4 linked regions of the Saccharomyces cerevisiae S288C genome follow. The gene in region 1 interacts genetically with each later gene. Each region holds a gene or a part of one and is shown in the gene's direction. Other genes may lie near its edges.

The links.
Region 2: mutations in ACO2 (region 1) and RNR2 together harm fitness less than expected from each alone (positive genetic interaction), as found in Saccharomyces cerevisiae (one large-scale study listed by BioGRID).
Region 3: mutations in ACO2 (region 1) and HXT17 together harm fitness more than expected from each alone (negative genetic interaction), as found in Saccharomyces cerevisiae (one large-scale study listed by BioGRID).
Region 4: mutations in ACO2 (region 1) and ITR2 together harm fitness less than expected from each alone (positive genetic interaction), as found in Saccharomyces cerevisiae (one large-scale study listed by BioGRID).

What each region holds. Positions count from the first base shown.
Region 1 is NC_001142.9:54,164-62,975, reverse strand, and holds ACO2 (aconitate hydratase ACO2), read left to right. Parts: upstream 1-4,162; coding exon 4,163-6,532; downstream 6,533-8,812. Other genes in the region: PHO90 (SPX domain-containing inorganic phosphate transporter), read right to left, coding at 1-2,132; MBB1 (Mbb1p), read left to right, coding at 2,794-3,120; ECM25 (Ecm25p), read right to left, coding at 6,798-8,597; PRP21 (Prp21p), read right to left, coding at 8,793-8,812. UniProt on the Saccharomyces cerevisiae protein: Catalyzes the reversible dehydration of (R)-homocitrate to cis-homoaconitate, a step in the alpha-aminoadipate pathway for lysine biosynthesis.
Region 2 is NC_001142.9:389,172-394,103, forward strand, and holds RNR2 (ribonucleotide-diphosphate reductase subunit RNR2), read left to right. Parts: upstream 1-3,232; coding exon 3,233-4,432; downstream 4,433-4,932. Other genes in the region: VPS53 (Vps53p), read right to left, coding at 1-1,682; YJL028W (uncharacterized protein), read left to right, coding at 2,140-2,475; YJL027C (uncharacterized protein), read right to left, coding at 2,662-3,078; RRN7 (Rrn7p), read left to right, coding at 4,796-4,932. UniProt on the Saccharomyces cerevisiae protein: Provides the precursors necessary for DNA synthesis. Catalyzes the biosynthesis of deoxyribonucleotides from the corresponding ribonucleotides. RNR2 provides the diiron-tyrosyl radical center.
Region 3 is NC_001146.8:766,679-774,851, forward strand, and holds HXT17 (hexose transporter HXT17), read left to right. Parts: upstream 1-5,978; coding exon 5,979-7,673; downstream 7,674-8,173. Other genes in the region: ATP-binding cassette multidrug transporter PDR18, read left to right, coding at 1-2,698; YNR071C (aldose 1-epimerase superfamily protein), read right to left, coding at 3,762-4,790; MAN2 (putative mannitol dehydrogenase), read right to left, coding at 8,114-8,173. UniProt on the Saccharomyces cerevisiae protein: Probable glucose transporter.
Region 4 is NC_001147.6:120,003-126,437, forward strand, and holds ITR2 (myo-inositol transporter ITR2), read left to right. Parts: upstream 1-3,998; coding exon 3,999-5,828; downstream 5,829-6,435. Other genes in the region: TPT1 (tRNA 2'-phosphotransferase), read right to left, coding at 5,995-6,435.

The sequences.
Region 1 (8,812 bases):
AGTAATCCGGTACCAAAAAACAAAACGATGGGAATGATTGCAATTTGACCTGATGACCCAAAAGCACCTTCAATCTGGCTTTCCACACACCACAACAAAATAGTGGCCACAGTGACAGTAATGATATAATACTGCTTAACTGTGAATTTCGTCTTAATAGGCTTAAATTTTTCCAATTTGGTCTTATTCATCTTGAAAGTAGTGAACAATAAAATCCAAACCAAAAGCATGGCCAGGATACCAGATGGCAATGCAACAGCAAAGAATTGGCCCCAGCCAATACCATAGGGTTTCAAGTACGACATGGAAATGATGTTTTGAGGTGAAGAGATTGGTGAAGACATACCACCGATATTTGCAGCCAACGCTACACCTAACACCAATGCTTGCGCAAATGGGCTATCTGCATCCATGGCATCCAATAGGGGAGATAACAACGAATATGTTAGAACAGGTGCTGCGACATTGGAAATCCACATTGATAGGAAGAACACGACACACATTGCCATTAAAAGAACGTTTCTGGGTTTACAACCAGCGAAGGCCAACAACCACGAGGCAAGAACTTTGGCGATGTTATATTGTGCAAGTACTTCACCCAAAGTAAAACCTGCCAGCAGAATCATAATTGTAGAAGACCACATGGCGGCCAAAATTTCTGATGAAGCGCTTGCAGCACTCATTATAGCCCCGTCGGAGGTTTTTAGGACTTTGAAAAGGACTACAAGTAGTGGTACAAGGAATGCTGTAATGTGTAATGGGATGGCCTCACTAGCCCACAAAAAGGCGACACACTCGACAAGGGCCATGCAGCGGTGCTGAGCAGCGTCGTTGAAGGTCTTTATTCCTAACAAGAGTCCAGTGACTAGAATAATAAAGTAAATCTTGTATGCTTTCTTGGTGAAAAATAATTTCGGTAGTGCAACGTTGTTTATACTAGTGAATTTTAAGTTTATCGGTCTGGGTAGTGGCCATCTGTAGTATTCCAAATCTAACTTGCCTACCAGCTTATTTGCATTATATTCTGTTTCCTTTGGTGTCAACTCGTCAGCTTGCGATAGCAGTCCCAACATGTCTTTCCAAGTGTTACTTCTTTCCCAAACAATGTGGTCATGCAGGTAGGATTTCAACTCTTGCTTGCTATGCGAGATATTATGAGGCCGGTCAGTGATGCGCGCATAAAATGTGACTAGCTGGGAAATTTTGGAATTTAGCAATTCGATCGTTTCTGCCTGGAATGCATATGTGTCTTTGAAAAACTGCTCCGATTCGATCAGTTCGGTTCTTGTATTCAAGTGAAGAACTTTGTCTGATTTCTTTGTAATTTTTGCAAACCCAATGCGGTTCAATTCGATGAACGACTTCAACTGGCAAAGATCGATATATAGGTTTACGATCGACTTCTTCAACAGCGATTTTTTCTGAGACTTAATGTTATACTGCGAATGATGCAGCAAAGCAGTATTATCTTCAATATTAGATTGATCATCGTAAAATTCGTCGTCGTCTTCGTCATCATCCAAGTCTAGTGGGGGAACTTCGTCATTTGTGCTGGCAATCGGTTCGTTAAACAGAGTATCATCGTCGATATCGTATTCTATAACTCCGATTTTCTTCAGGTCCTTCACCAGCGCGTCAAATTTGTCGTAGAACTTCGCTTCTGTCCTCTTATAAAAATCATCTACTTTCTGTTTTTCAGCTGTTAAATCACCAACAAACGTATCATAAGTGTCTAATTGCAGATTTTCGTTGGCCGTGGAGGAGACGGACGATGCGGAAGACGACCTTCTTTTGTAAAATATCTTTTCCTTCATTCTTCTGAAAGGAGAAGGTTTGGCAGCGACCGTCTGAGCAGTAGGCAACTCTCGCAACTCGATGGTTTCCTCAACGATGCCTGCATCTTTGTTCATACCGGAAGACGTATCTTCCTTCGCATTTTTAAAAGAAAACTTGTTTTTGAACCTATCTGTAATGTTAGAGCTCTTTCCTGCGCCAAATCCTTCTTCGTTATCACCAACCTGAAGTTCATCTGTTTGTAGCGTGTAAATAAGATTTTTCAGCTCGCTGTAGTCCATATAATGGTTTTGCCATTCTGGGACAGCATTGTACTTCAAGAAGTGTGAAAATCTCATGATCCTGTACCAGCTACCACTTACTCGTTTATCCTAAAAACAACTTTATTGGCCGGATGACATCGAAGTGAACAGTGTTCTTTATATCGATGAATCAAAATTTTTCAGTGAGCCATTCATTCTTCGAGAAGCAGCGCAAAAAAAAACAAAAAAAAAAAAAACGGCTGTAGCTGCGGCGATATTGTGAGCGCCCCGCTTTAGGGCGACTTTACCCATAGTAAAAAGGGAAGACAATAACGAAATAAGAAGAGAAGAGAACCGTGGTTTCTCTGTTGCTTAGGATCATATACGCCTACAGCAAGGCACCTCTTTATGCGTATGCAGTCATACAAGGAGTGTGGAAATGCAGCACAGATGGCCTTCGCTGCTTGCCAGGCTGCCATTTTTCTTGGCTGCTGCCGCTACTACTGATTTTCTTACCTCTGCTAGAAACCAGTGGAAATGATTTATTCACAATCTAGCACCATGCAACATACATCCAAATCAGTGGAAATACGACATTATTAGCCGGCCCTTTACGTGCCAAAGGTAATAACAGTGAACGGGAGATGGGAAGCTTAATGCTGTTACCCGCTATCGGTTGTTGCTATGTAAACCAAATATAAATGCAAGCCAAAAAAAAAGGGTAACATAAGGTTAAGTAGGAGAAGGGAGATATTGAATGTATAAGGTGTCAGCATGTGGGGTGAGGATAATGAGTGGCATATCAGAAATTTGGATTGGCGAACTTAGAGATTACAAGTACGCTTTACGTCTTGATAGAGAAGAGTATCCAGCGGTGCTTGTTTACGAGTATGACTCGTCTTCTACTAGGAACTATCTTTTTACCATAAAGTACAGCGATCAGAGGCCGAACTGGCAGCTCATTACTCGTGACGCAGCTTTAACAGCTTACGACTTACTTAACAGAGGTGGCGAGTTCACAACTCTCAGCTTTCCGGGAGCCACTATTCACCGTTCAGTCAGTGAGCTGTCCCGATTGCATTAACAATATATAAGGGAGCAGAGCGAAACAATATGAGGTTCAGTAACATTTAAGGGTCGCTATTGAGTGTTTTGTGAGATATAAGTGAGTTTTGAGATAATTGTTGGGATTCCGTTGTTGATAGAGGCTACAATATTATGTATACAGAATATACTAGAAGTTCCCCTCGAGGATATAAGAATTCTCAAATGGAATCTATACATACTAATAATACGACTATTCCTCATTCCGTTTTCATATGTTTCGTTCCTATTACACTATCAATCCTTGCATTTTCAGCTTCCATTACATTTGATGACTGATTCTCAATCTTTATGTTATCTTTTTACACCACATGTGATAGTATACTACTAAACAGTATGCGGTAGCTATACTCTTTAATGAATGGGCGAAGCCTCCCTAGTATTTTATCTTGACATATCTAAAGGATTGCACAATATTGCGATTTGTTCTCCACAATGAAACCTTCTCAATAATTGTCCGATCATCCACCCATTTCTTAAGATGATAGACGATTCTTAGTCCAATAACATTGTATCCTTTACGTTCCGTAGAATATCATGTTGTTGATCCTCTTCTCAGCACAGTGCTTATTACTCTCACATCAACATCAAAAAAATTGCTTCATGATTAAAATGTTTGTGGAATATAACCGTTAAAATAGGTCAGGCAAATATAAAATAGAAGCTTCTATGGCCAAGTTGGTAAGGCGCCACACTAGTAATGTGGAGATCATCGGTTCAAATCCGATTGGAAGCATATATTTGATTTTTTAGCAATTAATTTTTTTTTTTTTTTTTTTTTCACGCTCTTGAGTCATCGCGAGTAAAATTCCACTGGAAAATTTTTTCAATATATACAAAGTTCCACAATATCATACAGCTCTCACATCGTAGATTATGTCAATAGATGGTATGGCATCAAACATGTATATAAACTAAAATATTTTCATCTTTTCGTATTATTCGATTTGCGCACTTGCAAAAATAAGAATTTTCGACTTTCTTTAAACATAAAACTCTAAGAGCAATAAGCAAGAGATTCGATGCTATCTTCAGCTAATAGGTTTTATATAAAGAGGCATTTGGCAACACATGCCAATATGTTCCCCTCTGTATCTAAAAATTTTCAAACAAAAGTGCCACCTTATGCAAAACTTTTGACCAACCTAGACAAGATTAAACAAATAACAAACAATGCTCCATTGACACTAGCAGAAAAAATTTTATACTCGCATCTTTGCGATCCTGAAGAATCGATTACTTCTTCTGATCTGTCCACCATCCGTGGTAATAAATACTTGAAGCTAAACCCAGACCGTGTAGCTATGCAGGACGCTTCTGCCCAAATGGCGCTTCTACAATTCATGACCACCGGTCTAAATCAAACATCTGTCCCAGCATCCATACATTGTGATCATTTAATTGTAGGTAAGGACGGTGAAACTAAAGATTTACCCTCTTCCATAGCTACCAACCAAGAAGTTTTCGATTTCTTGGAGAGTTGCGCAAAGAGATATGGAATTCAATTCTGGGGCCCAGGTTCTGGTATCATTCACCAGATTGTTTTGGAAAATTTCTCAGCTCCAGGTCTAATGATGCTAGGTACTGATTCCCATACACCAAATGCAGGCGGTCTGGGAGCTATTGCCATCGGGGTTGGTGGTGCGGATGCAGTTGATGCCCTCACAGGCACTCCATGGGAATTAAAAGCACCAAAAATTTTAGGTGTTAAATTGACCGGAAAGTTAAACGGATGGTCCACTCCTAAAGATGTAATCACAAAGCTCGCTGGTTTACTAACTGTCAGAGGTGGTACTGGTTATATCGTCGAGTACTTCGGCGAAGGTGTATCCACTCTATCTTGCACAGGTATGGCAACCATCTGTAATATGGGAGCTGAAATCGGTGCTACAACGTCAACTTTCCCTTACCAAGAAGCTCACAAGCGTTATTTGCAAGCAACTAATAGAGCAGAGGTCGCTGAAGCAGCTGATGTTGCTTTAAACAAGTTTAACTTCTTAAGAGCCGACAAAGATGCTCAATACGATAAAGTTATTGAAATTGACTTATCCGCAATTGAACCTCACGTTAATGGTCCATTTACACCAGACCTTTCAACCCCAATATCTCAATATGCCGAAAAAAGTTTGAAGGAAAACTGGCCCCAAAAAGTTAGCGCTGGTTTGATTGGATCATGTACCAATTCATCTTATCAAGACATGAGTCGTGTTGTCGACTTGGTCAAGCAAGCTTCCAAAGCCGGCTTGAAACCACGTATCCCCTTCTTTGTCACCCCTGGTTCAGAACAAATTAGAGCTACCTTGGAAAGAGATGGAATCATCGATATTTTCCAAGAAAATGGTGCCAAAGTTTTAGCAAATGCATGCGGCCCTTGTATCGGACAATGGAATAGGGAAGATGTCTCGAAAACATCAAAAGAAACGAACACTATTTTTACATCATTCAATAGAAATTTCAGAGCTAGAAACGATGGTAATAGGAATACAATGAATTTCTTAACATCCCCAGAAATAGTAACAGCGATGAGTTATTCTGGAGATGCTCAGTTCAATCCGCTAACTGACTCAATTAAATTGCCAAATGGGAAGGATTTCAAATTCCAACCACCAAAGGGTGATGAGTTACCAAAAAGAGGATTTGAACACGGTAGAGACAAATTTTATCCTGAAATGGATCCAAAGCCAGATAGCAATGTAGAGATTAAGGTAGACCCTAATTCTGATCGTTTGCAATTATTAGAGCCATTCAAACCTTGGAACGGGAAGGAATTGAAGACAAACGTGCTTTTGAAAGTTGAAGGTAAATGTACAACAGATCATATTTCCGCTGCGGGCGTCTGGTTGAAATATAAAGGCCATCTAGAAAACATTTCTTACAATACATTGATTGGTGCACAAAACAAAGAAACCGGTGAAGTCAACAAGGCTTATGACCTTGACGGAACTGAATATGATATTCCTGGTTTGATGATGAAATGGAAATCAGACGGTAGACCATGGACCGTGATAGCGGAACATAACTATGGTGAAGGTTCCGCAAGAGAGCATGCTGCTTTGTCACCAAGATTTTTAGGCGGAGAGATTCTTTTAGTTAAGTCTTTTGCAAGAATTCATGAGACAAACTTGAAGAAACAAGGTGTGTTGCCATTGACTTTTGCCAACGAATCTGACTATGATAAAATATCAAGCGGAGATGTTTTAGAAACGTTGAACCTAGTTGACATGATTGCTAAGGATGGTAATAACGGTGGTGAAATTGATGTTAAAATTACTAAACCAAACGGTGAATCGTTCACCATCAAGGCAAAACATACTATGTCTAAAGATCAAATCGATTTTTTCAAAGCTGGTTCAGCAATCAATTATATTGGTAATATACGAAGAAACGAATAAATTCTGAAGAGATATTAGCTAAAAATTAAGAGTCCGATTTAATAGTCATAAGCTAGTTTACACAATTCTATAGACTCTGCATATAGACGGTGCAAATAACCTACCTATTTATTTATTTATTTACTATAAAAAACGTAATATTGTTTGATATATAATATTATACACGAGATCTCGACTGCTTCAACTACGGCTTAACTCAAGGGTGGGGGGTATTTTGTTGTCGTATATGCAATATGTATGTGTTAAAAAGATACAATTATGTAAGTTACCACCTTTGTTTCATTTCATTCATTACTTGTAAACCTTGTAAACGTTCTTCGTACAATGCAGCTAGCCTGCTAACCTTGTTGCTTGCTTTAATATCTGAATATCCCTTTTGAGAGAATTTATCTGCTGTCTTTGAAGTAGTTTCATTTTTCTTCTTCTTTTCTTGTAGTTCTTTGTCGAACTTCTTAATCTTCGCGTTTTGGACGAGGGTTAAACTTTCAAACTGTTGTACGAATATATCTGTTTCCACAGAATTTTTATCCTTTGCTGGCTCGTCCTTAACCATTTCTTTGATATTATCTGATATCGTTAAATCGGTGCTGCTGTTACTCAATGGAAGCGAGTCTGCTGATGGAGTCTTCGTCGGTGAGGATAATGTATCTGTAGAAGAAGAAGCTAATGCCAAATCTGTATTAGAATTGGAAGTTAGAGACAGTTGTGGTCGTGTAACTGCCTTAATAGGAAGTGGAGGTTTGGCATTGAATGATGGGGATGAAACATTTCTGCTTGAAGACTTAGGTTTCAAGACTGGTGTATTTTGTAATGCGACAGGTGTGTACGTTGGAGACGTAACAGATCTTTGTGGACTAGGGCTTCGACTTCTAGGAAGGGTTAAGCAGCCTAGTTCACTGTATCTGGTTGGCGACGACTTCCTTGGCTTAGGCAAAACAGGGATAGTAGAAGACGATGATACGGATGAAGGAGGTGATGATATTTCCTTCGCGATTTCGGGGAAAAAGTCCAGTAAATTTTTAATATATCTCGACCCAATAGCTAAACGATCATTAGTCATCATGGAAAGTTTTTCCTTACATAACGCCGGAGTTAAAGCTTTACTTAGGGTCCTTGAATCATGTTTAGTCGATTCACCATGCGCTATGATCCTATTAAAAAAAGGAATTATGACCATAAAGAGGTCCTGGTATTGGTTGAATTTAATAATTTTGCGGAATGTTTCACTTGTGAACTTTAGATCATCAACAATTGGTAACGGAATTAATTCAATTGGGATTAGAGGTTTGGCTTTATTCTTAATGAAGTAATTCAACCACACGGATGCCAAAGAATAAATATCCCATTGAGATAAATCAATGTAGTTGTTTCTTTTGATAATATCCAAAAAAATGTTTACCTTTTTATAGTTTCCCGGCTTCTGGAATATCAATTCACACAACAGAGCGTCATTCTGTAATTTCTTGAAAATTTTATCGAATACTAACTGCCTATACTGTCTTATTGCCAGAGGGGTCAATCTGTTATAATATTCCTCCGGGACATTTATATGTTCGCGTATCTGGTAATCATATAAGTACACGTTCAACGATATTCTAAGTCGCGTAATATCTATTAGCTCGGATAAAGAAGTCAGGTCCAAGACATGAACTAAACTTGGAAAATCATGCTGACTATCTTTTGAGTCCAAGAAGTTAAAGTTCATAGCGTTTGAAATTACTTGATAGACCGACCTAACGAAGAATGACTCATGAACAATAAAAATCTTTTGTAAATAGAACTTGGTCTCTTTGGGTAACTTTGCAAACATTTTAATACCGTAAACCCAGCTTATTTTTCTCTGGGAAAACCCAGATGAAAAAATCACCAGTGAATATGGTGCCTGTGGCAATTTCATTACCAATCGATCCATGAGGGCATTAATAAGCAAGTCATAAACTTGCTTATCGCCAATTTCATCAGATGCTGGCAAATAAGTCGAATCAAAGACATAAATTGCGTGACCAGAGTTAGGATCAACTGAATAAGATCTAAAAAATATGTTATTAACGTTGATATCTATCATCCTGGCCTTCTTTCACGCTACCAATAGTATTATCCAGTAGGGCCATATCCTCGAGAATTTCACTTTCTATATACAAAATAACATCAACATGAAAAAACGCCAAAATACGTACGCCGTTAATAGTGATACATGTGCTCAATTACGGTGCATCATCAACCTTTACATACTTCTAGCTAACTTTGATTTTCATGAGGCTTATTTTTTACTTTTCTTTA
Region 2 (4,932 bases), 330 kb from region 1:
GTCGAAGGTTGCTCTTGCTGTTGTTTAATAGAGGCATCTGTTAATGCGGGCATTTTAAGTACGGATTTGAGGGTTACCATGTACCTGCTATAATCTTCTATCGCAGCATTTGACCAATCATTGTTGATAAACTCTCTCCATACAAAATTTAGATCTAAGGGTATGACACGGTTTAATAGAAAAGAAGTTCCTTTTGCTAGTAAATCGTCGTATATATTTTTCGTTTTCGTAAAACTGTTTGCCAGCTTTTCACGATTACCGCTGAATTCAGATAATTTATCCTCCAATTGATCTATAGTCGTGGCACAATAATCTGCAGTATTGATCAATAAAACGGTATACTTGGCAGCTTCTAGCTTATCCTGGACTTCAATATTGTCGGGCAGCAGTAAAGGAAGAAGAATTTTTTGTGAGTAAGTTTGAAGCCATCTACTGAAAAAATTTGCCAATGAAGTCAATATGCTATCATTGGCATTATTATCAATGAGCTCTAAGGTCTGAGTCAGTACGGAACGATATGTCCTGAAAAGGTCTGCACTCGAGGGTAACACGAGAGATTCTGTTTCATTAGATGGGTACTTCGGCTCACTCATATAAGAAAGAAATTTCTTTTCCATCATTTGGTTTTGGTGAGACACCCATAAAGTCAAATAAGGTTCGAAGCAGGAACTTAGTTTTGGTTCCTTAATTTTTTTTGAAAATCGTACGTCGATGTATTTTTCGAAATCTAGCGTCGATTGTAATGCTGTCATGAATAGATCAATGGAAGGGTTCTTGTCTTTGAATTCCCTTTTCAGAAGTGTCTGAAGGTCCTTGTGTGTAATGTGATAAAAAGTGGTGGTCAATCTGACTGCCATTTCCCAGTCTTTTAAGAAATAGTCTGCGAACTTTGAATTGAAGTTATTAAGAATTTTTTTGAAGTAAATGTATCTTCTCGATAAATTTTCTAGGGATCCGGCTTCATCGTCGACCCTAAATATCTCTTTCATTTCGAAGAGAAGTTTGTCCAAACACCAATCTATCATCTGGGCTCTCGTACTTGTATCGCAGTCGAGTAGCTCGCAGGCACCTTCGCGCAATTCCATAGTGAGTGCTGTATCATGCTCTGAGATATTGCCGCCGGAAAAGAGCGCATTGTAGTTTTGTTTAATTTTGGACAAAGTGTCTCCTTTCAGTCTTGAAATGGAGCTCAACAAATAGTTTATCTCGTCCAATGATTTGTAAGAGATGAATGTGTTTTCAGCAAGCGAACACATTATCTTATAAGGGGACACCATTTTTTTGAATGAGCCCTGTGAGAGTAATTCATTGCATTGTATGTAACTGTCTGTCAATATCTTTAAATTTTGGAAAAGAGTCAAAGAGTGGGTGAGGTTTTTCTTGGCAATGTCCAGGTACGAGATACCTTCTGTCAGATTCGATATCGTCAACTCGGTGGAGGCTGAGACATCTTGAGTTTCTTTGAAATCTTGGAAAACTTTCCTCAGAGAAGCCTCTATTTCAGCGGAATTTTTAGGGTGTTCCTTCAATTCATTCTCTTCTTTGAGAATATCCTCTTGCAATTGCTTTTTGTAGCTTCTGGTAATACTGATCAGTTCATCTATGTTGTTCAGGGATTCTTTTGAAAAAAGTATATTGGTAATATCTTCCAGCGGGTCATAATCTACCGTACCTTCCAGCATTGTCCTTCTGAGAAAACAAAAATGGAAGATGTTGTGAAAATGCAGTAAGTGACAATAAGCTAGCGACTTTTCAATGATCGCAGATTAAGTATATATACACTTTAGGTCTCCTTCTCTTCTTTACTAGCTACGAAAAAACAAAGAAAAAAAAAACAAAATAGAGGGAAAAAAGATATACGTATAAAAATATGCTCCAGGGGAGGTTCGAACTCTCGACCTTCAGATTATGAGACTGACGCTCTTCCTACTGAGCTACTGAAGCACTATTTCTTGTTCCAACCGAGGAATAATACTAGACCTGTAGAAAAGTACCGCTTATCTAATATCCAACTTTTTCTTCTGTTCCCTTTAGTGAATTCAAGATGAAGGAACATAACAGAACGGAAAACAAAAAAAAAGGGAAGAAAAAAGATATCACCACCAATTGGCACGCTCGCAACGGTTTCGGGCCAGATTCATGGCCCTGTGGGGTAGAAGTGCCTACAGACAAAAAACCGTTACGTCCCGCCTCACCAAGCATCGACACACAAGCCCTCTCAACCTCCTTAATTTCTTTATCTTTTTTTCCCTTCACCTCTGTGCTCTTTTTTTAGCCACAGCTGTGCATTACGCTTGCTTTGCTTGTTTTGTTCTCTTTCGCCATGCCATATTACTACTTTTCTACTTACTGGCACGAGGCCGCGCAAGCCAGATCCAAGCACGCCAGAAAGTGCGGTGTACTGGTGCAACCTTTTATCGATTTCTCATCATATCGCTATCGCAACGGGCATGGGCGACGAAAAAGCCAATCTAAAGCGTTGTCTTCCTCGTTCCTCGCGCACGCGATTTTGCGTTCTGCATAGGAAGCCGAAGTCGAACAAGAAGCAGGCAAAGTTTAGAGCACTGCCCCTCCGCACTCAAAAAAGAAAAAACTAGGAGGAAAATAAAATTCTCAACCACACAAACACATAAACACATACAAATACAAATACAAGCTTATTTACTTGACATCGCGCGATCTTCCACTATTCAGCGCCGTCCGCCCTCTCTCGTGTTTTTTGTTTACGCGACAACTATGCGAAATCCGGAGCAACGGGCAACCGTTTGGGGAAAGACCACACCCACGCGCGATCGCCATGGCAACGAGGTCGCACACGCCCCACACCCAGACCTCCCTGCGAGCGGGCATGGGTACAATGTCCCCGTTGCCACAGAGACCACTTCGTAGCACAGCGCAGAGCGTAGCGTGTTGTTGCTGCTGACAAAAGAAAATTTTTCTTAGCAAAGCAAAGGAGGGGAAGCACGGGCAGATAGCACCGTACCATACCCTTGGAAACTCGAAATGAACGAAGCAGGAAATGAGAGAATGAGAGTTTTGTAGGTATATATAGCGGTAGTGTTTGCGCGTTACCATCATCTTCTGGATCTATCTATTGTTCTTTTCCTCATCACTTTCCCCTTTTTCGCTCTTCTTCTTGTCTTTTATTTCTTTCTTTTTTTTAATTGTTCCCTCGATTGGCTATCTACCAAAGAATCCAAACTTAATACACGTATTTATTTGTCCAATTACCATGCCTAAAGAGACCCCTTCCAAAGCTGCTGCCGATGCATTGTCCGACTTGGAAATCAAAGATTCCAAGTCCAACCTTAACAAGGAATTGGAGACATTGAGAGAGGAAAACAGAGTAAAGTCAGACATGCTTAAGGAGAAATTGAGCAAGGACGCTGAAAATCACAAGGCTTACTTGAAATCTCATCAAGTTCACCGTCACAAACTTAAGGAAATGGAAAAGGAGGAACCTTTGTTGAATGAAGACAAGGAGAGAACTGTTCTTTTCCCTATCAAGTACCATGAAATCTGGCAAGCCTACAAGCGTGCCGAAGCTTCTTTCTGGACCGCTGAAGAAATTGATTTGTCTAAGGATATCCATGACTGGAACAACAGAATGAACGAAAACGAGAGATTTTTCATTTCCAGAGTTCTTGCCTTTTTCGCCGCTTCTGACGGTATTGTTAATGAAAACTTGGTTGAAAACTTCTCCACCGAAGTCCAAATTCCAGAGGCAAAGAGTTTCTACGGTTTCCAAATCATGATTGAAAATATTCACTCTGAAACTTACTCCTTGTTGATCGATACTTACATCAAGGACCCTAAAGAAAGTGAATTCTTGTTCAATGCCATTCACACCATCCCAGAAATCGGTGAGAAGGCCGAATGGGCTTTAAGATGGATTCAAGACGCTGACGCCTTGTTTGGTGAAAGACTAGTTGCCTTTGCCTCCATTGAAGGTGTCTTTTTCTCCGGTTCCTTTGCCTCCATTTTCTGGTTGAAAAAGAGAGGTATGATGCCCGGTTTAACCTTTTCCAACGAATTGATCTGTAGAGACGAAGGTTTGCACACCGACTTTGCATGCTTGTTGTTCGCCCATTTGAAGAACAAACCAGACCCAGCCATTGTTGAAAAAATTGTCACCGAGGCTGTGGAAATTGAACAAAGATACTTCTTGGACGCCTTACCAGTTGCTTTGCTAGGTATGAACGCTGACTTAATGAACCAATACGTTGAGTTCGTCGCCGACAGACTGTTGGTTGCTTTCGGTAACAAGAAATACTACAAGGTCGAAAACCCCTTCGATTTCATGGAAAACATCTCCTTGGCCGGTAAGACCAACTTCTTCGAAAAGAGAGTTTCTGACTACCAAAAGGCTGGTGTTATGTCCAAGTCGACTAAGCAAGAAGCCGGTGCTTTCACCTTCAACGAAGACTTTTAAGAGTATCTCTCTATATATTTCTTTTTACGCAGTCTCTTCAATCTCTTTATGTGGGCTTTCGCACCTCTTATTTATATATATATATATACACTGAATCATATAAACTTTTTTTTATATTGAATCTAATATATTATCAAACGGAAACTTCGGCTGAATTTCATACGTATATTGATTAAAGTGGAAAGGGCATCGGAAAAGTAAGAAAAGCTTAAAAAAATTGAAAAAAAAAAAAAAAAAAATAAAAAATAAAAAATAAAAAAACCTATACAATACATACATATGTATATGAATATAAACCTGGAACGATGTGTCTTTAAAAATAGTTGAACGAACTACTCGGACATACCCCTACATCACTTAAGGATGTCTACTTTCATAAGAGGTCCCATCTGCGGTACAGACAACTGCCCCTCACGGCTTTGGCGTATCATTGATGGGAGAAGAACCTGCCAATATGGTCACGTTATGGAAGGTGACGTGGAATTTAACGACGATGAAGA
Region 3 (8,173 bases), on another chromosome or scaffold:
TTCTTTGATGGGTTTAGCTAATATTAGTTTCGAGCACAGGCCAATATTGCAAAAACACAAGGTCTATTCACTATATCATCCCTCAGCTGAAGCGTTAGCAAGTACGATTTCTTCTTTTCCATTCAGAATGATTGGTCTAACATTTTTCATAATCATCCTGTACTTCTTAGCCGGTTTGCATAGAAGCGCCGGTGCTTTTTTTACTATGTATTTGTTATTGACAATGTGTTCAGAAGCTATTACAAGTTTGTTTCAGATGGTTTCATCTTTATGCGATACATTGTCCCAGGCCAACTCCATTGCCGGTGTTGTGATGTTATCTATTGCCATGTATTCGACGTACATGATACAATTACCTTCAATGCATCCATGGTTTAAGTGGATTTCGTACATTCTACCCATTAGATATGCATTTGAATCGATGTTAAATGCAGAATTTCATGGAAGACATATGGATTGTGGTGGCACTTTGGTTCCTTCTGGACCTGGGTTTGAAAACATCTTGCCAGAAAATCAAGTGTGTGCTTTTGTTGGTTCAAGGCCTGGCCAATCTTGGGTCCTAGGTGATGATTATTTGAGGGCCCAATATCAATATGAGTACAAAAATACTTGGAGAAACTTCGGCATCATGTGGTGTTTCTTAATTGGCTACATCGTCTTGAGGGCGGTTTTCACTGAGTACAAAAGTCCTGTCAAAAGTGGTGGTGATGCTCTGGTCGTCAAGAAGGGCACAAAGAATGCTATACAAAGATCATGGAGCAGCAAAAATGACGAAGAGAACCTTAATGCCTCTATAGCAACACAGGATATGAAAGAGATAGCTTCAAGTAACGACGATAGCACAAGTGCAGACTTTGAAGGTTTGGAATCTACCGGGGTGTTTATTTGGAAAAATGTTTCTTTCACAATTCCTCATTCTAGCGGACAACGTAAACTTCTGGACAGCGTAAGCGGTTACTGTGTTCCTGGTACTTTGACAGCATTAATAGGTGAGTCCGGCGCTGGTAAGACCACATTATTAAACACTTTGGCTCAAAGGAACGTGGGAACGATTACTGGTGATATGTTAGTTGATGGTCTCCCAATGGACGCTAGTTTCAAAAGGCGTACCGGTTATGTTCAACAGCAAGATCTTCATGTTGCTGAACTTACTGTCAAAGAATCGCTACAATTTAGTGCTCGTATGCGTCGGCCACAGTCTATTCCTGACGCTGAAAAGATGGAATATGTTGAAAAAATTATATCTATTCTTGAAATGCAGGAGTTCTCAGAAGCTCTTGTCGGCGAAATTGGTTACGGCTTGAATGTTGAACAGAGAAAGAAACTATCAATTGGCGTTGAGCTAGTTGGCAAGCCGGATCTGTTATTGTTTTTGGACGAACCGACCTCTGGCTTGGATTCCCAATCCGCGTGGGCCGTCGTCAAAATGTTAAAAAGATTAGCTCTAGCAGGTCAATCAATTTTATGTACTATTCATCAACCATCAGCTACTCTTTTTGAACAGTTTGACAGATTATTGCTTTTGGGAAAAGGCGGTCAAACAATTTATTTTGGTGAAATAGGTAAAAATTCAAGTTCTGTCATTAAGTATTTCGAAAAGAACGGAGCCAGGAAATGTCAACAAAATGAAAATCCGGCAGAGTATATTTTAGAAGCCATAGGAGCTGGGGCCACCGCTTCTGTTCAACAGAACTGGCCTGATATATGGCAAAAATCTCACGAGTATGCAAACATTAACGAAAAAATAAATGACATGATTAAGGACTTATCTTCTACAACTTTGCATAAAACAGCTACAAGGGCCTCTAAGTATGCAACATCGTATTCCTACCAATTCCATCATGTGCTGAAAAGATCCAGTTTAACATTTTGGAGAAACTTGAACTACATCATGGCCAAAATGATGTTATTGATGATCAGTGGCTTGTTCATTGGTTTTACCTTTTTCCATGTGGGTGTAAATGCTATTGGATTACAAAATAGCTTATTTGCCTGTTTCATGGCTATCGTTATATCAGCTCCTGCAACAAACCAAATACAGGAGCGTGCTACCGTTGCTAAGGAGCTATATGAAGTTCGTGAGTCCAAATCTAATATGTTTCATTGGTCTTTACTTTTGATTACCCATTATTTAAATGAATTGCCTTACCATTTATTGTTTTCAACAATTTTTTTCGTTTCATCATATTTCCCTCTGGGTGTCTTTACCGAAGCCTCTAGGTCAAGTGTTTTTTATCTGAACTATGCCATACTTTTTCAACTTTACTATATTGGTCTTGCTTTAATGATTCTGTACATGTCTCCAAATCTACAATCTGCCAATGTTATTGTAGGTTTTATACTTTCGTTTTTGCTCTCTTTCTGCGGTGCTGTCCAACCTGCCTCTTTAATGCCTGGTTTCTGGACATTCATGTGGAAACTATCCCCTTACACGTATTTTTTGCAAAATTTAGTTGGATTATTGATGCATGACAAACCCGTAAGATGTTCAAAGAAAGAGTTGTCTCTTTTCAACCCCCCGGTAGGCCAAACATGTGGTGAATTTACCAAACCGTTTTTTGAATTTGGGACTGGGTATATTGCAAATCCAGATGCAACAGCAGATTGCGCCTATTGTCAGTACAAAGTAGGTGATGAATACTTGGCGCGCATAAATGCTAGCTTTAGTTACTTATGGAGAAACTTCGGTTTCATTTAGGCTTATATCCTTTTCAACATTGCCGGTATGATTGTGGTTTATTACGTTGTTCAAGTTAAGCATTTTTCCCCTATGAAAATTGGCTTCGTAAAAAGAATAACAAGTAAATTTAAGAGAAAATGAAGAAAAAAATTGCAGGTATACTATGGGTGCAGGTGAGGCGGTTTTTTAACCGATTTAGCACACGATACTGTGAATTTTGGGTTATATGATGATGTGAATATTGCAGAAATGTAATGTTATATTATTCAAAGAAATAGGGTAACTTCTATTTATGCAAACATTGGTAATCAAGGCTATAAACACATAATCCCAAATAAGTATTTTGGTACACAGTTGATGTTTCTTTATGAATACGACTCATTAGTTCACTGTCAAATTGCCAACGTTCAGAGGGACCTACTTACAGAGCGTATGTTTTATATTTACGACGAACGCGATCTAATTATTATCCGCTGGTTAAACAGCGTAATAATGTTCATAGGGGCCTTGCATGACATTTGAATTTGAACATTACTAGAGTTCGTGAAATTTTGTCAATGAAAAAATAATGTGACAAACGTCTGCAAATAACCTGAAGAATTTTATCCGGGATAACGACAAAGCGTTAAATATAGAAACATAGTGAATGTACTGCTAGGAAAAAAATAGGCATAATTTAATCTTTATTCATATAAATGTTTTTACCAGAACTCTCTTGGTAGATAGTTTTGATATACGGTTTCCTGCTCAATTTTAGTGAGGCTGGGACGTAAAGTATTTTTTTCAAATAAACCATTTCTTGTTTCTACCTTTTTAGTACGGATTTTTTTTAGTAAGTTCTGTATTCTTTTTTAAGAGTAAAAAATATTCAGACCCCAAACTCACAAAAAGCCTACAGAGTCCGCCTGTTACGCTCAATTTAGTACTACCACTTGTGATAATATTTATTTTGGGACAGGTCCAAAAACTTTTAGGTTTAAACGTACAAACGTTGAGTTTAATCTAGATCATATATCATTATAAAGGTTTTATCTACAAGCAAGTGAAGAAACGTAACAAACGTAAAAAGCTTCAGCCTCACCTAAATATCGAATTTGTACTGAGTCTTTGAAGTGTATACCTCGCCGCGCTTCAGAAGAACACAACCTCTCCACTCATCACGGTTGATAGCATCAACGTATCTACCTTGCTGAACGGCAAATCCAGACCTTGGCACAAATTTGCCACATAAATTATCACCGGTGTACAAATGAACGGTTGGTTCTGTCGTCGAAACCTCAAATTTGATGTGAGATTCGGGATGATAGGCCTTAAAAACAGGAACCAATTTGTTGACACTCACAGAATCTGTAGTCTTCAAATCCTTGTTAGCGTCAATAATGAAAGTGCAATCAAAGACCGGAGTATCTTCATGCAAAACGGTGGGCTTAGTTGAATCAAAAGTAGCAATGTTCCTTTCAATGATCTTACCAGTTGGAAGCAATGCCCCCTCTGTAACTTCAAGCGATTTGTTCGAGCAGACCTTAACTTCTGTACCACGAATGGACTTCTCACTCTTGACTTTGTTCAAGTTAAAATACGAGTGGTTGGTCATATTAATTGGAGTAGCATCACCACGAACTAACTGTGCTTGGTATTCCATGTCTAAAGTCATTTCTGCAACATTCAAAGTGTACTTCACTGTGACTTCCAAGTCACCTGGAAACTCGTTAGGGTTGGGCTGTGTGTGATCATCCAACAATTTAAATTCAACAACGTAAACGCCCTTGGAAGGATTCTCAACAGGGGACGCCTTGTACTGCTTAAGATTTAAGGAACTGATACTGCTGTGATTTGTGTTACCACAATTGTTAACAGTTAACTTGTGAGGACCATCATCCAGGCTGAAAACACCCTTGGCGATACGGTTGGCATAACGACCAACTGTAGCGCCCATCATGTTACCATCTGTTAAATAGTCTTGTACGTTTGAATAACCTTGAACGACTGATTGGCCGTTTACCTTCAGGTCTACCAAAGTTGCACCAAGTGGCGCAATGGTAGCTTGGAACTTTTTCTCATCACCAATTGTAATGACACCATACTTATTATCACCGTTACTATTTGACATTTCGCTGTTTGTTATCTGTTTTGATTTTTTTTTTCACTGCTTATCATACAAACTGATCAATTGAGCTATCAAACTTCAACTTATCTCTGTATTTATATGCTGAAAGTATAGAGTGTACATAAAAATGTATCACATGTCTATTACATATTACGACACCCCCACAATATTTTAACTGATCTTAATAACACGGGGTAGGAAGTTTATTTCATCATACCACTCAATGAGCTAAGCTGCCAAAGGCTCCTGTTCACTTCCTTGTGGTTCGTAGGCTATTCAGTGGCAACGTAATAAACAAGAAAAGAAAAAATTTCAACACCTTTATTCTAAATGTTGTCAGAAGTAATTATAGTGGGGGTATTGCAGATGTAAATGAAATACGACGTACTGTGGGGGGCTTTTCTTTTTCAAGAATCCTAAACTATTCCAATGGGATTGCGTGATTATGTTTCGTTAGAGTTTTTTTCTATATCTCCGTTCTTATTTCTTAAGTCCGCCCCTTGCTGTAACCAGCCCGGCTATTATTTGACGAATTTTTCACATCTTCATTCCTTGCCGAGAAAGAAGCTTTTGCCTCCCTGGGGTTATTATAAAATATATCTGACGTCACTGGTTTGCAGCCAAAAAGTTTAATTATTTTAACTTCAAGGGTTCGTTTCGGAGTAAATAGTCAATGCACAAAATAGGAAGGTGGAGGTGGGGTATGCATTTTTGTGCATAGAGTGGCGGGGTATTAAGAATAATGCACATATAGGCACATAGGCACAAATGCGTGGGATGACTTGACTGTGCAAAGACCGTTAGCAACCTAGAATGTGGAATAGTATCCCAAATGATGACGTAAACGTTCGAGGATAATATTAGATAATATAATATTAGTATCCTCGTCTAAAAACAGGCAAAATAGCACGGAATCTATTCAAAAGAAGGCGGCAAGCAGTATCAATTGAGATAAGTGTATACGAACGGTGAAACCTCCTTGGCACAGAATTTTATCGTTCAAGTGGTAGGATAGCATTGCTGCCATAACACCCTCCTTAATCACAGGATAATATGGTGAACGAGATATATAAAGCGATAAGTTTAGGTGTGATATTTTTCTTTCGTTGTGCAAGTGTTGTGTAAATTCTTTCTCATTTGATAAATCAAAAAAAAAAAAAAAAAAAAGAAAAGAAAAGAAAAATTAATAAAATGCAATCATCCACTGAAAGTGATAGAGATATTCAGGATGGTCCTGATGCTGATATTCACGTCGCACCACCCGTGGAAAAAGAGTGGTCAGATGGATTTGATGACAACGAAGTCATAAACGGGGATAACGTTGAGCCACCAAAAAGAGGGCTCATAGGTTATCTTGTCATTTACTTATTGTGTTATCCAATATCCTTCGGGGGTTTCCTGCCTGGTTGGGATAGTGGTATCACAGCAGGTTTCATTAACATGGACAACTTTAAAATGAACTTCGGTTCTTACAAGCATAGCACTGGTGAATATTATTTGAGCAACGTGCGTATGGGTCTTCTTGTGGCTATGTTCAGTATTGGATGTGCCATAGGTGGTCTTATTTTTGCCCGTCTTGCTGATACTTTAGGTAGAAGGCTGGCAATTGTAATCGTGGTGTTGGTATATATGGTTGGTGCAATTATTCAGATCAGTTCGAATCACAAATGGTACCAATACTTCGTTGGTAAGATTATCTATGGTCTTGGTGCTGGTGGCTGTTCGGTGTTGTGTCCAATGCTTTTGTCTGAAATAGCTCCTACAGATTTGAGAGGTGGACTTGTCTCATTGTACCAACTTAACATGACCTTCGGTATTTTCTTGGGTTATTGTAGCGTTTATGGTACGAGAAAATACGATAACACTGCACAATGGAGAGTCCCACTTGGGCTTTGCTTTTTATGGACTTTGATTATCATCATTGGTATGTTATTGGTTCCAGAGTCCCCAAGATATCTTATTGAATGTGAGAGACACGAAGAGGCCCGTGCTTCCATTGCCAAAATCAACAAGGTTTCACCAGAGGATCCATGGGTACTCAAACAGGCTGATGAAATCAACGCCGGTGTCCTTGCCCAAAGAGAACTAGGAGAAGCTTCATGGAAAGAACTTTTCTCCGTCAAAACTAAAGTCCTTCAACGTTTGATCACAGGTATTCTTGTGCAAACCTTTTTGCAACTTACTGGTGAAAACTACTTTTTCTTCTACGGAACTACCATTTTCAAATCAGTCGGTCTTACTGATGGGTTTGAGACGTCGATCGTTCTAGGTACAGTGAACTTCTTTTCCACTATTATTGCTGTTATGGTCGTAGACAAAATTGGCCGTCGTAAATGTCTTTTATTTGGTGCAGCTGGGATGATGGCTTGTATGGTCATATTTGCAAGTATCGGGGTGAAATGTCTTTACCCTCATGGCCAGGATGGTCCATCCTCAAAAGGTGCAGGTAATGCCATGATTGTGTTCACTTGCTTCTATATATTTTGCTTTGCAACGACATGGGCTCCTGTTGCTTATATTGTGGTTGCCGAGTCGTTCCCTTCGAAGGTCAAATCTAGGGCCATGTCGATTTCGACTGCATGCAACTGGTTGTGGCAATTTTTGATCGGGTTTTTCACACCATTCATTACTGGGTCTATCCACTTCTATTATGGTTATGTGTTCGTAGGTTGTTTGGTTGCAATGTTTCTGTACGTTTTCTTCTTTTTACCAGAAACGATTGGTCTATCTTTGGAGGAAATCCAATTACTATATGAAGAAGGTATAAAACCATGGAAATCTGCATCTTGGGTCCCACCTTCTAGGAGAGGTATTCCTTCCGAAGAAAGTAAGACCGAGAAGAAGGATTGGAAGAAATTTTTGAAGTTCTCAAAGGGTTCTGATTGATCATAGAGTGCATATGCTTGTCTTGATAGGCAACATTGTATATTATATTTTACATAATAATGTGTAATTCTAATTTGTCACGAATTTATGAAGATTCTTGGAGCTATGAAGATCAACATATGTAGAAACTGGTATGTGTCATAGGTAAAAAGTATTCATTAAGACAAAATTGTGTCTAATTCTTAGTCATTTATTCAATTTTTTTTTTTTTTTTTTACGTAAAGCGGGGTGGAGTGACATGATATGGTGATGGTGATGAGAAACTCTAAATGGATCCATTTGACTATCGATTGAAAATCATGAAAGATGCGCTTGAAGGAACATAACACGTTACTATTTGTCTAAATAAAACAATATACAAAAATACGACATTATATATACTCTACCCAAGATATTTAGTCATTACTATCGAGGGCGCGTAGATCAGATCACCTTTAAAATCACACTTGGTCTAAAATTTCCTTAATAGCGGCAATTGGCCCTTTATCATAAACTGTTTC
Region 4 (6,435 bases), on another chromosome or scaffold:
TACATACTGACATATTTGGTCCAGTTCACAACCTACCAAAAAGTGCACCATCCTATTTCATCTCATTTACTGATGAGACAACAAAATTCCGTTGGGTTTATCCATTACACGACCGTCGCGAGGACTCTATCCTCGATGTTTTTACTACGATACTAGCTTTTATTAAGAACCAGTTTCAGGCCAGTGTCTTGGTTATACAAATGGACCGTGGTTCTGAGTATACTAACAGAACTCTCCATAAATTCCTTGAAAAAAATGGTATAACTCCATGCTATACAACCACAGCGGATTCCCGAGCACATGGAGTCGCTGAACGGCTCAACCGTACCTTATTAGATGACTGCCGTACTCAACTGCAATGTAGTGGTTTACCGAACCATTTATGGTTCTCTGCAATCGAATTTTCTACTATTGTGAGAAATTCACTAGCTTCACCTAAAAGCAAAAAATCTGCAAGACAACATGCTGGCTTGGCAGGACTTGATATCAGTACTTTGTTACCTTTCGGTCAACCTGTTATCGTCAATGATCACAACCCTAACTCCAAAATACATCCTCGTGGCATCCCAGGCTACGCTCTACATCCGTCTCGAAACTCTTATGGATATATCATCTATCTTCCATCCTTAAAGAAGACAGTAGATACAACTAACTATGTTATTCTTCAGGGCAAGGAATCCAGATTAGATCAATTCAATTACGACGCACTCACTTTCGATGAAGACTTAAACCGTTTAACTGCTTCATATCAATCGTTCATTGCGTCAAATGAGATCCAACAATCCGATGATCTTAACATAGAATCTGACCATGACTTCCAATCTGACATCGAACTACATCCTGAGCAACCGAGAAATGTCCTTTCAAAAGCTGTGAGTCCAACCGATTCCACACCTCCGTCAACTCATACTGAAGATTCGAAACGTGTTTCTAAAACCAATATTCGCGCACCCAGAGAAGTTGACCCCAACATATCTGAATCTAATATTCTTCCATCAAAGAAGAGATCTAGCACCCCCCAAATTTCCAATATCGAGAGTACCGGTTCGGGTGGTATGCATAAATTAAATGTTCCTTTACTTGCTCCCATGTCCCAATCTAACACACATGAGTCGTCGCACGCCAGTAAATCTAAAGATTTCAGACACTCAGACTCGTACAGTGAAAATGAGACTAATCATACAAACGTACCAATATCCAGTACGGGTGGTACCAACAACAAAACTGTTCCGCAGATAAGTGACCAAGAGACTGAGAAAAGGATTATACACCGTTCACCTTCAATCGATGCTTCTCCACCGGAAAATAATTCATCGCACAATATTGTTCCTATCAAAACGCCAACTACTGTTTCTGAACAGAATACCGAGGAATCTATCATCGCTGATCTCCCACTCCCTGATCTACCTCCAGAATCTCCTACCGAATTCCCTGACCCATTTAAAGAACTCCCACCGATAAATTCTCATCAAACTAATTCCAGTTTGGGTGGTATTGGTGACTCTAATGCCTATACTACTATCAACAGTAAGAAAAGATCATTAGAAGATAATGAAACTGAAATTAAGGTATCACGAGACACATGGAATACTAAGAATATGCGTAGTTTAGAACCTCCGAGATCGAAGAAACGAATTCACCTGATTGCAGCTGTAAAAGCAGTAAAATCAATCAAACCAATACGGACAACCTTACGATACGATGAGGCAATCACCTATAATAAAGATATTAAAGAAAAAGAAAAATATATCGAGGCATACCACAAAGAAGTCAATCAACTGTTGAAGATGAAAACTTGGGACACTGACGAATATTATGACAGAAAAGAAATAGACCCTAAAAGAGTAATAAACTCAATGTTTATCTTCAACAAGAAACGTGACGGTACTCATAAAGCTAGATTTGTTGCAAGAGGTGATATTCAGCATCCTGACACTTACGACTCAGGCATGCAATCCAATACCGTACATCACTATGCATTAATGACATCCCTGTCACTTGCATTAGACAATAACTACTATATTACACAATTAGACATATCTTCGGCATATTTGTATGCAGACATCAAAGAAGAATTATACATAAGACCTCCACCACATTTAGGAATGAATGATAAGTTGATACGTTTGAAGAAATCACTTTATGGATTGAAACAAAGTGGAGCGAACTGGTACGAAACTATCAAATCATACCTGATAAAACAGTGTGGTATGGAAGAAGTTCGTGGATGGTCATGCGTATTTAAGAATAGTCAAGTAACAATATGTTTATTTGTTGACGACATGATTTTATTCAGCAAAGACTTAAATGCAAATAAGAAAATCATAACAACACTCAAGAAACAATACGATACAAAGATAATAAATCTGGGTGAAAGTGATAACGAAATTCAGTACGACATACTTGGCTTAGAAATCAAATATCAAAGAGGTAAATACATGAAATTAGGTATGGAAAACTCATTAACTGAGAAAATACCCAAATTAAACGTACCTTTGAATCCAAAAGGAAGAAAACTTAGCGCTCCAGGTCAACCAGGTCTTTATATAGACCAGGATGAACTAGAAATAGATGAAGATGAATACAAAGAGAAGGTACATGAAATGCAAAAGTTGATTGGTCTAGCTTCATATGTTGGATATAAATTTAGATTTGACTTACTATACTACATCAACACACTTGCTCAACATATACTATTCCCCTCTAGGCAAGTTTTAGACATGACATATGAGTTGATACAATTCATGTGGGACACTAGAGATAAACAACTGATATGGCACAAAAACAAACCTACCGAGCCAGATAATAAACTAGTCGCAATAAGTGATGCTTCGTATGGCAACCAACCGTATTATAAATCACAAATTGGCAACATATATTTACTTAATGGAAAGGTAATTGGAGGAAAGTCCACCAAGGCTTCATTAACATGTACTTCAACTACGGAAGCAGAAATACACGCGATAAGTGAATCTGTCCCATTATTAAATAATCTAAGTTACCTGATACAAGAACTTAACAAGAAACCAATTATTAAAGGCTTACTTACTGATAGTAGATCAACGATCAGTATAATTAAGTCTACAAATGAAGAGAAATTTAGAAACAGATTTTTTGGCACAAAGGCAATGAGACTTAGAGATGAAGTATCAGGTAATAATTTATACGTATACTACATCGAGACCAAGAAGAACATTGCTGATGTGATGACAAAACCTCTTCCGATAAAAACATTCAAACTATTAACAAACAAATGGATTCATTAGATCTATTACATTATGGGTGGTATGTTGGAATAAAAATCCACTATCGTCTATCAACTAATAGTTATATTATCAATATATTATCATATACGGTGTTAAGATGATGACATAAGTTATGAGAAGCTGTCATCGATGTTAGAGGAAGCTGAAACGCAAGGATTGATAATGTAATAGGATCAATGAATATAAACATATAAAACGGAATGAGGAATAATCGTAATATTAGTATGTAGAAATATAGATTCCATTTTGAGGATTCCTATATCCTCGAGGAGAACTTCTAGTATATTCTGTATACCTAATATTATAGCCTTTATCAACAATGGAATCCCAACAATTATCTCAACATTCACCCATTTCTCACCTTCAGCTCAAATCCTCATCCCGGAACCTTTTTTCTTATTTGTTCCCTCTTCTACTACAAGAGCTTTCAAATTGTAGTCAAAAACCCGCTTTACTAAAAAAACATCGCCAAAAAAATTTCCAAAATCGCTCGTCTTGCCACTAAAAGTATGCAAAATATTATGTGAAGCAAAGTTATTTCGTGTCTTCCGCCTAACAGAACGTAAGCAGTTGACCATACTTTAGTATAGAGTACGAAAAAACACAAAGAATACCTTAATAAAATAAACATTGTCGTTCGCTAGGAAAACGGTAACGAAAACAAAAAACTAAAAGAAGAAAAGAGGCAGGACGCAGTAAAAGCAAGAAAACTGCTTTTTTTTCATGGCTGAAATGAAGAATTCGACAGCTGCTAGTTCCAGATGGACGAAGAGTCGTCTCTCCCATTTCTTTCCCTCGTACACTAATAGCAGTGGTATGGGGGCCGCCTCAACTGATCAATCTTCTACGCAGGGAGAAGAACTGCACCATAGGAAGCACTGTGAAGAAGACAATGATGGTCAAAAACCGAAAAAGTCTCCCGTATCCACCTCTACAATGCAAATAAAATCTAGACAGGATGAGGACGAGGATGACGGTCGAATTGTCATTAAACCAGTTAACGATGAAGATGATACATCAGTGATTATAACTTTCAATCAGTCAATATCCCCTTTTATTATTACATTGACATTCGTTGCGTCCATTTCTGGGTTCATGTTTGGTTATGATACTGGTTACATATCGAGTGCGCTAATTTCTATCAATAGAGATTTAGACAACAAAGTTTTAACTTATGGAGAAAAAGAATTAATTACGGCCGCCACATCATTGGGCGCTTTGATTACAAGTGTGGGCGCTGGTACTGCTGCTGATGTGTTTGGAAGAAGACCATGTTTAATGTTCTCCAATCTGATGTTTTTGATCGGAGCAATTTTACAAATTACCGCGCACAAGTTTTGGCAAATGGCGGCCGGTAGACTGATTATGGGTTTCGGTGTCGGTATTGGTTCTTTGATTTCTCCTCTTTTTATTAGTGAAATTGCTCCTAAGATGATCAGGGGTAGGTTAACCGTTATAAATTCCCTATGGCTGACAGGTGGTCAATTGATTGCTTACGGTTGTGGTGCGGGCCTGAACCACGTCAAAAACGGTTGGAGAATCTTAGTTGGTTTGTCCTTGATACCTACTGTTTTGCAGTTTTCTTTTTTCTGTTTTTTGCCGGATACACCAAGATACTACGTAATGAAAGGCGATTTAAAGAGAGCAAAAATGGTTCTCAAACGAAGTTACGTAAACACTGAAGATGAAATAATTGATCAAAAAGTTGAAGAATTATCTAGCTTAAATCAATCGATACCAGGAAAAAATCCAATAACAAAATTCTGGAATATGGTCAAGGAATTGCACACTGTGCCTTCAAATTTCAGAGCTTTGATTATTGGTTGTGGTCTACAAGCCATTCAACAATTCACAGGTTGGAATTCCTTAATGTATTTCTCCGGTACAATATTTGAAACTGTTGGATTCAAAAATTCTTCTGCCGTTTCTATTATTGTCTCAGGTACTAATTTTGTGTTCACATTAATAGCATTTTTCTGTATTGATAAAATCGGCCGTAGGTACATTTTACTGATTGGACTACCTGGTATGACTGTGGCGCTGGTTATATGTGCTATAGCGTTCCATTTCCTAGGTATTAAGTTTAACGGTGCTGATGCAGTAGTGGCATCTGATGGATTTTCATCTTGGGGCATTGTCATTATCGTATTTATTATTGTGTATGCAGCCTTTTATGCCCTCGGTATCGGCACTGTTCCATGGCAACAATCGGAATTATTTCCACAAAACGTCAGAGGTGTAGGGACATCCTACGCTACTGCCACCAATTGGGCAGGTTCTTTAGTCATTGCGTCTACGTTCTTGACTATGTTACAAAATATTACACCAACGGGTACATTTTCATTCTTTGCCGGTGTAGCATGTTTATCAACCATTTTTTGTTACTTTTGTTATCCAGAACTATCAGGATTGGAGTTAGAGGAAGTTCAAACAATTTTAAAGGACGGATTCAATATCAAAGCCTCTAAAGCTCTAGCTAAAAAGAGGAAACAACAGGTGGCCGAAGGTGCTGCCCATCATAAACTCAAATTCGAACCTACACAGGAAATTGTAGAAAGTTAGACTGCTACACCAACAAAAAATAAAAGATAAAGAACAAAAAAGAAGGAAGAAAGCTATAAAAGGGAGACAATTCATTTCATCTAATCTTAAAAGTTTTTATTTAAATATATAAGTAAGAGCGAAGTATTTAAAAATAAAAATTCATAAAAGTTGAGCTTGATGAAAGTTATATCTTTTCGAGCGGTATGTTTCTTTCGTGTAAAATTCTTCTTAAAGTATCTAACTTCTCCTCATCTTTCAAGTTTCCTTTAACTACAACTTTTTGGATCAATTCAACGGGAATACTGCTGCTTAAGTAAACATTATTGAGCGACCTGAACATTTTCAAAGTTTGAAAGAATAATGGAGAATGGCAGTCGATGAAAATATAGACGTTACTTGAAGAACGCATTCCACTAATAACTCCCTTCGCGTGCAACATCCCCGGCGATAAATGGACATGATTTCTACTCATTGGTGATATTGCTCCGGATTCAATAATCTTTATGACAGATTGAAGATTTGTTCCATGAATTAGTTCCTGTGGTAACTGCGACGCTTCAGTAATTGGTACGAGAACCTCATCTGATGGCTGAATCGATTTGATTGAATGTCCCTGAGTAGCACA